2 linked regions of the Callithrix jacchus genome follow. The protein of the gene in region 2 purifies or fractionates together with the protein of the main gene of each other region. This does not show direct contact. Links are inferred from orthologs where the notes say so. Each region holds a gene or a part of one and is shown on either strand. Other genes may lie near its edges.

What was found.
Region 1: the proteins of myeloid cell surface antigen CD33 (region 2) and PTPN6 purify together in Homo sapiens (co-immunoprecipitation; 4 studies listed by BioGRID and IntAct, with this or other methods). This does not show direct contact. The link is inferred for Callithrix jacchus from reciprocal best matches to the Homo sapiens genes CD33 and PTPN6.

The regions. Positions count from the first base shown.
Region 1 is NC_133510.1:21,225,229-21,230,088, reverse strand, and holds the end of PTPN6 (tyrosine-protein phosphatase non-receptor type 6), read right to left. Parts: intron 4,685-4,860; coding exon 4,553-4,684; intron 4,413-4,552; coding exon 4,258-4,412; intron 2,122-4,257; coding exon 2,054-2,121; intron 1,964-2,053; coding exon 1,812-1,963; intron 1,716-1,811; coding exon 1,624-1,715; intron 1,262-1,623; coding exon 1,151-1,261; coding exon of another isoform or gene 1,147-1,150; exon of another isoform or gene 1,130-1,146; intron 942-1,129; coding exon 857-941; 3' UTR 751-856; downstream 1-750. UniProt on the Homo sapiens protein: Tyrosine phosphatase enzyme that plays important roles in controlling immune signaling pathways and fundamental physiological processes such as hematopoiesis.
Region 2 is NC_133523.1:44,809,302-44,814,911, reverse strand, and holds the start of myeloid cell surface antigen CD33, read right to left. Parts: upstream 3,766-5,610; 5' UTR 3,720-3,765; coding exon 3,683-3,719; intron 3,621-3,682; coding exon 3,243-3,620; intron 3,038-3,242; coding exon 2,759-3,037; intron 1-2,758. UniProt on the Homo sapiens protein: Sialic-acid-binding immunoglobulin-like lectin (Siglec) that plays a role in mediating cell-cell interactions and in maintaining immune cells in a resting state.

The DNA of each region.
Region 1 (4,860 bases), on a different chromosome or scaffold from region 2:
GGCTCCACTCCCCAGGAGACGAGTTACAAATGAAGAAGAAACCCCACTCCCGACACAACACGGGGGGAGGAAGAGGGGACCAAAAACAAAGCAATCTTCAAGTCTGCCAGCTCTTCAAACTCTGCCCCGGAGGACACGGGCAGCCGCAGCCTGGGTGAGGGGAGAAGCTGGGTGCTCCCGGGTGCACTAAGAGCCAGTCCCCAGTCCCCGTTCCTGCCTGAGGGGATGAGTGGGGCTGGCCTCGGGTTAACTACTCTTCTTAGTTCGGATCTGGAAGTCAGCATCAGGGGAGTGTGACTCTAACTGCCCCAAGGGCGGCAGCTGCAACTCCAGGGTAAGGAGTCTGGGCTCTGGGCTCAGAAGGCCTGGGTTCAAATCCCAGCTCCACTGCTCCATAGTCCTGTGACCTTGGGCAAGTGACCAAGTTACTTAGTCTCTCTGTGCCTCAGTTTCCTGCACTGTAAAATGAGAATAACAAAAGTGCCTAGACTGATGTAACATGTGTAGCCTCTCAGTGCCTGGGCACAGGGCAAGCGTGTGGTGAGTCACTGTGCCCGTCTTATCACCAGCCGTCATCGTGTGCTTTTCACAACCGCCCTGTTATGATCGCTCTCCATTTTAAAGGAGGAGACTGGGGAGCTTCGCCCACAGTCACCCTCCCACGTGTGAGGCGGAGTCCAGACCCACAGCGGTCTGACGGGAGGCGGAGCCCACTCACTGGGCAAGCAAAGTGCTCAGTTAGAGGCGACACACAGTAATCCCAGGCCTTTATTTACAAGAGGAGAAGGGCTGGCCCTGACTGGGGCCTGGCTGGGCTATATACAGGATCAGGGAGAGGTATGAGGGATGGAGCCATTTAAATTACAATAGAATGGGGCACTCCTAGGTTCAGGTTGTGGGTCTGTCCACTGTGGGAGGCTTCCGCAGGGTCTGGGCTGAGGCTGCCAAGAGAAGGAGTTAGGGAGTGAGAGGGTGGCTGGAACCTGGAGGGCGAACAAGGAGGTCTGGGGCAGCTGGGAAGGGCAGAGTGAGGCTGCAACCACCCCATCCACCCAGGGAAGGCAGTGGAGCCAAGGACACAGGGCAGGACAGGGAGGACAGCCAGGCAGAAGAGTTGTAGCACCGCCACCTGAGCACAGCGCCCGCTCACTTCCTCTTGAGGGAACCCTTGCTCTTCTCCTTGTCTGCTGACCGCTGCTTCTTCACTTTCTCCTCCCGCTTGTTCTTACTGTGCAGGTTCTCATACACATCCTCCTTGTGTCTGCAGCAGGGTGCAGGGGGCAAACACAGGCCGGAGGCACAGGTCAGGAGACAGCACGGGGGACCCAGCAGTGGCAACCCTCTCTGGCTGCCCCATCTCACAGGTGGCCCAGCCACTGTCCCTGCACTAAACTCCAAGTTCTTTGAGGTTAGAGGCAACATCTCATACACAAGTGCACTGCTGCTACCTAGCACAGGCCCACACGTGGCGGCGGTGGGGGGGCACTCTGGAAATGCTTATTAACAGAAGGCGTGAGAACCAAGCTTGAACTTGAAGCAACACTTGTCCTCTCCAGAAATCAAGGATCGGGCTGGTCAGGACAAAGGGGTGGATGCCGGGAGGTGGCAGTCAGGGCCACTCACTTGGATGAGGTGCGGGAGGCCTTGGCATGGGCGTTCTTCATGGCTGGGGGGTAGGTGATGTTCCCATACTCCGACTCCTGGCCCTTCTGCGACTGTGGGCAGAGGGATAGCAGGAGGGTGGTGGTCCCAGCAGGGCCAGGTGGCACCCATCCCCCGCTGCAGCCCCCTAGGCCCTGCTCTGCACGCACCTGCAGGACCTCCAGCTTCTTCTTGGTGGTTTCAATGTACTGGGCAATGGCCACGTAGATGAACTTGTACTGCGCCTCCGTCTGCACCATGCCCGAGCGCTGCGCCCGCACCATCTGGATAGTCTTCTGGATGTCAATGTCACAGTCCAGGCCTGGGTGGGGGCAGTCAAACCTCAGGCCTAGGCACAGGTAGACACCAAGGGGTTGCTCACCCCGCCCCCAAGCCCCCAGGTGCCCCTCACCCTTGGTGGAGATGTTCTCCATGAGCATGTCGATGACAATGATGGTACCTGTGCGGCCAATGCCCGCGCTGAGGAGAGACGGGGATGCCGTCAGAGGCCAGTCAAGCCCTTCCTGGGAAGGGGGGTTGACCAGTGCTCAGCTCCACCCCCAGGCACTGCAGGAGCAGCCTGAGCCTCCAGTAATAGAAGGGAATGTACCCAGCATCATTGGGCAAGTGACAATGACAATTTGCCCGACTCTGCATGGGAGCACTCCACTTCTGGCTCTGTGGTGCTGATGCCAGCTTCCCAGATGCCACCATCCTTCCCTACTCCACTCCCTGCACCGAATCCTCACTCCTGGAGAGCAGCTGTCCCCACCCCGAAAGACATGGGACCCCCAAATCCCACTACTGTCCTGCTGGTTCCTAGGCACCCTGAACCCTTCCCACCTCTCCAAGAGTTAGGGAGCTCCAGCTGGGTGCAGTGGCTCACACCTGTAATCCCAGCACTTTGGGAGGCTGAGGCAGATAGATCAAGAGGTCAGGAGTTCAAATACCAGCCTGACCAACATGGTGAAACCCCCGTCTCTCCTGAAAATACAAAACTTAGCTGGGCGTAGTGGCGTGCACCTGTAATCCCAGCTACTCAGGAGGCTGAGGCAGGAGAATCACTTGAACCTGGGAGGCAGAGGTTGCAGTGAGCTGAGATCACGCCACTGCACTCCAGCCTGGGCAACAAGAGTGAGACTGTCTCAAAAAAAAAAAAAATTCATGGAGCTTCTCTCTGCAGAGGTTTATTTCCCTTTTTCTTCAAACCCTGACAGCTGGGAAAGGACAGCCCAGAGACAACAGGGTTCAGGGGTGCCGGGTCAGGGACTCGGGGGAGCAGTGCAATAGGAAGTTTCTCTCCTTCCCACCCCTGGGCAAGCAGACCCTAGGGAGACCCCAGGCCCACCCTCAGCTGGGCCCATCAGGCTGGTGCCCTGAGTCGCACTGTCTAATTTCAAACACAGATTGTCAAAAATAACCCCCCTTCACCCACTTCCTTCCTGTAACGTCTAAATAAAGGCCATGGGGCTTTCAAGAAGTGTGTGACTATACGTGCGGTGGGTGAGCAGGAGGGTGGCTCTCAGGGATAGACCTGTCCCTGAGAGAGCAGAGGACAGAGCTGCGGCCCCAAGACAGCCCATCGGGGCACCTCTAGATTCAGCCAACTGGCCCTGTCCCATGGACAAACAGCTGCTGGGGGGAAGAGGAGGAGGCCAGAGGCCATCAAAGACCTGGGGTCCACAGAGGGAGTGTGAAGGGACCGGGCAAGGCAGGTCCCTGTTTCCCCCATTCTCTGTCTGGCATGAGTACTAAACCAGTAACTGCCAGTGTTTGAGGGCTGATGGAATTCCAGCCACAGCAATAGGGTCTCACGACAACCCTGAGATCCTGGTTTTACAGATGAGGAAGCTGAGGGTCAGAAAAGTTAAGCAATTTGTCCAAGATCACACAGCTGGTGAGCAGAGGGGCCCTCCACCCGCTGCCTCTCTTCCATTTAGGCCAGGCCGGCATGGTGGGCTCTTCAGTGGGACCCCTGCTCCTCGCAGCCCCACCTCTGCACCCTACAGGGGTCTCCTGATCACAAACACGAGGGTAGATAGAGGAGCTATGTGTACCCCCCAGAAAGGCATCGCCCATCCCCATACAACCCTGGGGGCCAGGATGGGGAACTGCCAGGGAAAGGGGGAGAGACGGCGGAGTCAGGAAGAAGCCTAAACCCTGGGGCTACAGATGGAAAAAGAGGAGGAATGGGGAGCACAGGCACGATGGATATTCCTGGGAGGCCAGAAGAAACCAGCAGAGTGGGACCTTGAGAGACAGCAGGGCAGCCGGGACTCAGGCCTACTGTGGGTGCCAGCCCGGCCTCGCCCTGACTAGCTGGGGCCTGGCCAGCAGCTGAGTCCTGGGTTCCTCCTCTGTATTTGGGTTGGGCGAGATGGTACATCTGGGGAAGGCTCTGAGGAAGACACCCACAGGCAGGGGGCCAAAGTGGGACCAGGTCCAGCCATGTTCCACCCCAGGCTCTGGAGCCATGAGGGAACCCAGAAGAAGCCGGGGGTGAGCGGAAGGCAATAGACGTGTGCACTAACATGTATGTTGCTTATAACAGCTCATGGCGCTTAGCAATATTTACTCCTCAGCAGTCACTGCTACCATGAGGACTCTCATTCTCACCTGCAGTGCACGATGATGGGGCCTGCGCGAGGCAGACTTTCCTGCCGCTGGTTGATCTGGTCCAGGAAGCTGAGGACGCCCCCGGGCTCACTGGGGACCCCATGGTCAGGCCAGCTCAGGTACTGGTAGTGCCAGATCTCCCGAACCAGGTCCCCCTGACCAAGGACATAGGGTCAATTCCCCCTGCTCCCTCGGAACACCCCACCTGCCTCACCCCACCCAACCACTCAACCAGACAGGAGAACAGGTCCAGTGGGGGACTCCCACAGCAGGGCAGGGAGTGGGGGATGCTCACATTGTCCAGTGGGGAGACCTGCAAGCTGCGGAGTTTGTATTCGGGCGTGTCGTGCTCCCTGCAGTTGGTCACAGAGTAGGGCCCATAAACGCGCTGAGTGCCCACCTCGGGCCAGTATGGGACACATTTGTTCTGGAAAGAGACCGTTGGGTGGGGATGACCGTGACCCATCCCAGGCCCTGCTCTAGTGCCTGGCACCAGCCCAAACGTTCGTCAGATGGACAGATGAGCTGGCTGAGAGGCAGGAGACCTGTGCTCTCCTCTCGGAGCAGCCACCAACAGGTGATGAGGCCTGGCCAGCACTTTAC
Region 2 (5,610 bases):
AATTGGAAAGGAGGAAGTTAAATTGTCTCTGCAAATGACGTGCAAAAACCTAAAGACTTGGCCAGGTGCAGTGGCTCATGCCTGTAATCCCAGAACTTTGGGAGGCCAAGGTGGGTAGATGGCTTGAGGCCAGGAGTTCAAGACCAGTCTGGCCAACATGATAAAATTCCATCTCTTAGAAAAACAAAGCAAAACAAACAAACTACCAAAAAACCCTAAAGACTCTAGCAAATAAAACCTCCTAGAACTGACAAATGAATGTCGTAAATTTGCAGGATACAAAATCACTGCACAAATATCAGTTCCATTTCTACACACAGACAATGAACTAGCTGAAAATAAATAAAAAAGGCAATCACATTTACCATAGGTATAATAGAATGAAGTACACCTAGGAATAAATTTAACCAAGGAGGTGACCGACCTCAGCAAGAAAAACTACAAAACACTGAGGAAATAAATTGAAGAAGATACAAACAACTGGAAAGACATTCCATACTCGTGGATCAGATGAAGTAATATTGCTAAAATGACTATACTACCTAAATAAACCTACAGATTCAAACCAGGCTCTATCAAAATACCAATGTCATTCTTCACAGAATTAGAAAAAAAAATCTTAAAATTCACATGGAACCAAAAATAGCCTGAATAGTCAAAGCAATCATAAGCAAAAAGAACAAAGCTGGAGGCATCACACTACCAGATTTCAAAGTATACTACAAAGCTGCAGTAATCCAAACAGCATGATATTGGCAAAAAGCAGATACATAGACCAATGATACAGAATAGAGAAGACGGAAATTAACCCACTATCTACAGCAAACTGAATTTTGATGAAGGCATGAAGAACACTCATTGAGGAAAGAGCAGTCTCTTCAATAAATGATGCTGGGAAAACTGGTGCCATATGCAGAATAATGCCACTAGACTCACACCTCTCATCCTGTACAAAAATCAATTCAAAATGGATCAAAGACCTGAATATAAGACACAAAAATATAAAAGTACTAGAAGAAAACATAGAGGAAATGCTTTAGGACATTGGTGTGGAAAAATATTTTATGAATAAGACCTCAATAGCACAAGTAACAAAAGCAAAAGTAAATAAACGAGATGATATCAAGCCAAAAAGCTTGTATGCAATAAAGGAAACAATCAACAGAGTGAAAAGGCACCTACAGAATAGGAGAAACTATTTGCCAGCTGTTCATCTGACCGGTGATTCATATCCAGAATATATGAGGAACACATACATCTTGATGGCTCAGAAAACCCCAATCTGATTAAAAACTGGGTAAATTATCTGAGACATTCCTGAAGAGATGATATACAGATGGCTAACAAATATATAAACAATTCTTAACATCACCAATCAACAGGGAAATGCAAATAAAAACCACAATGAGGTAACATCACCCCAGTTGGGAGGACTGTGATAAAAAGATGAAAATTAACAAATGCTGTTGAGGATGTAGAGAAGTGGGAACTCTTATATACTTTTTGGCCTGAATGTAAACTAATATAACCAATATGGTGAAGAGTATGTAAGTTTCTCAAAAAACTACAAATGGAGCTACCATATGATCCAGCAATTCTACTACTGGGCATTTATACAAAGAAAAGGAAATCAGTATATTGAAGAAATGTCTGTACCTCCATGTTTATCGCAGCACTAGCCACAATAGGAAGATATGAAATCAACCTAGGTGTCCAACAACAGATGAATGAATAAAGAAAATGTGGCATATACATAGTGGATTATCATTCCACCCTAAAAAATAAAGAAATCTTGTTATTCACTATAACTTGGTTTGAGCTAGAGGACATTTTGTTAAATGGAATAAGCCAGGAACAGAAAGTGAAATACTACAAGTTCTCACTCATAAGCAGAATCGAAAGAAGTTGATTTCATAGGAGTAAAAAGTAGAACAGAGAATAATGACTGGGAAGGTTAGGGGAACAATGATAGGGAAAGAGATTTGTTAAAGGATACAAAATTACACCTGGAAAGGAAGAATAAGTTCTGGTGTTCTATACCACTGCAGGATGACTATGGTTAACAATAATACATAGTTTCAAATAGCTAGAAAGAGGAAATTGAATGTTTCCAATATAATGAAATGATAAATGTTCAAGATGAGGGATATGCCATTACCCTGATCTGGTTACTATACGTTATTAGTATTGAAACATCATTATGCAATCCATAAATATGTACTATTATTATATATATCAACTGAAAATAAAGTAAAATACCCCAAGACATTCAGTGACAGGAGGGAGATAAAGAGCATTATTTGGATGGGGAAGAAGGAAGTTGCTAGTCATTTCCAAATATCCTTATCCAAGGTGCCTGATGTCTACCTGTGTCTAACTACAGGCCTTGCCTCTGAACATTTGACTCAGAAAGTCTGATCTGACCAAACCTGATACACACTCAATGCCAGTAACAGCCCCGGGCAGGGAGGCTCCTTCTTACCCCGGCCATCTCCTAGAAAGATACCAGTGGTTGGGTTCTGTGGAGCATCTAGGAGAGGAAGAGAGGATTTCCTTTATTTGGGGGTAGGGGATGAAATAAGGGTAGACATATCCCCTTACTCCTGCCAGAAGCCACAGAAATGCAGAAGGGACAGGGCTTATATCCTTCTAGCTCCCAAACTTGGCCAGGCTTCCAGGACACTAAATGTCCCCAGCCCCAGCCCATCCTGTCTCCCCTGCACCCTCAGAGACTCCAGCATCCCGGCCCAGCACTTACAGGTGACATTCAACTGGATGGTTCTCTCTGTGGTCACAGCAGCTCCAGGGAACTTCACCTGACAAATGAGGTTGGTGCCATGGTCCTGGGGCCGTGGGGTGATGATGAGCACCGAGGAGTGGGTAGTCCTGGGGCCCAGGGAGGTGGGGGCAGCTGACATCCAGGAGAAGATGGGGGGTGTTCCCTGGTCACAGGCCCAGGGCACAGAGCAAGTCAGGTTTTTGGAGTGGCCAGGGTCTAGAGCTCCAGGGATGAGGATATTGGGTCTGTGGGCCAAGTCTGGTGAGGAGAAAGCAGGGGATGCACGATCAGGAGGGAGGGTCCAGGTGAGGCCCTGAGAGAAGATCAAGCTCTGGTCAGGTTCCCCCTGTAAGCATGACAGGCTTTATTCCTAAACCCCTCCCAGTACCAGGGTTCCATCCCAGCCCTGCCCTGCAGTACCCTTCAACTCCCCTTGTGGCTGCTTCTGGAGCCCGTGCCTCACCTGTCATATGCACAGAGAGCTGGGTGGATGTGTAACTGTATTTGGTACTTCCCATCTCTATCCGAAAGAAGTATGAACCATTGTCCCTCCTCCTGGCATCTACAATGCGTAGGGAGCAGTTGTTCTTCCTGGGATCCCCGAGAAGGCGGAATCGGCCCTGGGTCTCCTCCTGTACTTCTCGATCTGGGTTGTTTGTGGCCACTGGAGAGTCCAGGGATACAGTGGCTCCTTTCCGGAACCAGTAACCATGAACTGGGTTATTCCTGAGGTAGTGGGGTGGGAGGGAGAAAGTGCAGGGCACGAGGACGCACAAACCCTCCTGCACTGTCACTGAATCTTGCACTTTCAGCCAGAATCCTGAATCCTTAGCCAGGGCCCCTGTGGGGAAATGAGGATCAGCTTGGCCCAGCCCCACAACCCCTCTCCCCGCAGCCACTCACCTGCCCACAGCAGGGGCAGCAGCAGCAGCGATGGCATCTCTGAGGTGGAGGCTTCCTGGGCTCCCTGTGTGAGAAGAGAAGAGGAAGAGGAAGGGCTGCAGGGCCAAATGGGAAGCTGGGGAGGAGCAGGAAACCTCAACCCTGCACAGAAGAGGAAACTCAGACCCACACGTACTCAGAGCTCATTTCCTCCACACAGATTGGACAGATCACTCATGGGCCACAGATGCCAGAGACCCACCCAGAGAGGAGAGGAAATGGAGCAGAATCTGGTTCTTGCCTCCTAGGAGCACCAGAGCCTAGACCAGTACCTCTGGTGACATCTGAGGCATGGGATGCCCATGTCTGAAGTCCTTCCACTCTGAGGTGCTTCTCTGTGCACAACTGTTTACACCAGGGCTGGTCACTGCAGTCTGGCTTAAGTCACAGCCTCACCTAGATCCATGAGGTGATCGGTCCAGCAGGATGTAGGATTCTATAGGGTCCATGGGAGTGTCTGGGGCAGGCAATGAAGAAGAGTCCTAGGTAAACTGAAGGTGGCAGCCATTTATTTATTTATTCATTCGCTAAAGATATAGTGAGGCAGCCATTTATTTATTTATTCATTCGCTAAAGATATAGTGAGTGACAGATCAGAAGCACCATCATCTTGGACAAACACCACCACTTTAAGTTCCAGCTCCCTTTCTAGCCTAATGCATTTCAAGGAAATCACTTCTCTTCTAACTACAAGCAGCCAGAAAGAGCAGACAGTAAAACACGGGTAAGACAGCTAGGGCACAGAGAGAGCTGGGGGGAAAGTCTCTTGGGTAACTGCCAAACTTAACCCTCATACAATGGGCTCTAGTAAAACGGTGGGCCTTAATAAGCACATTCCTTTCCCTTCAGGTGCACTAAGATAGGGAAGCTCGGGGTGTAGGCCTGTAGCTCCAGAAAGATGTATGGGAAGACACGCAACTCTCCTTCCTAGATAAGCACAACAAAGAGATACAGAAGCAGTCCAAACCTCTGACAAACTCTCCCACCCTAAATCCTTAAAAACTCTTAGTCTGTAAGAGAGTGTGCCTCTGACCTAACTCGGCCAGAAGCTCCTCTCAAGTTTGTTTTCTTGAAAACCTGTCTTGACTGGTGAGCCACCTTTCATGTTTCTTCCCCCCTTTATTTAATTCTTACAGTGAACCTTTGTGTATAAGTGAGGCTTGAGAAGAGATACCACTGACCTGATTTCAAGGCAGCCCTTGAAATGCTCCCTATTCATAGCCTCCTGTCCTCACCACACACACATACTGTCTGGCTTTACAGCTGTGAAAAGGGGAATTTGCCATGTGTAACATATTGTGAATTTAAAAAAATATGACTCTGGAATTTTCCCCTGGCAGCTAGTATGCTGATTTGCACAGTGTCAATGACATCTACAAAATAATAATCATGGGCATCTTCCTATAAAACAAAAGGGAGAACACATGTTCTATGAACCAGTGCAGAAGAAACTTCTTTTCCATTTGCTGCCATTTGGTGCAGTGTGGGCAGAAGCAATTTTTTTTTTGGAGGCTCATGATATGGATTAACATTTTCCTTCATGTAAAAATCTGCTTTTCACAGTTAAATATGGCCCAAAGACATAATATTTCCAGACAACATGAGTGGAATGTACAGAGAAAATTAAACTTTAGGTCCAGCCACATGCTTGTCCATATCACTGTGTAGTATGCATCCAACAAACCCTTGATGCCTGGTACTCAAGTATTAGTACTTGTCATCATACATTTGTCAAATATCTGCACACAATAGTGTCTAGATAACTCTTCATTCATCCTGCTTCATCATTTGGTATATAACAAATTGAGTCTCCATTAAATAATATCTGACATAAATTTCTCCAGTAAACAATATCTGATATATCAGATATAAATATCAGATATAAATTT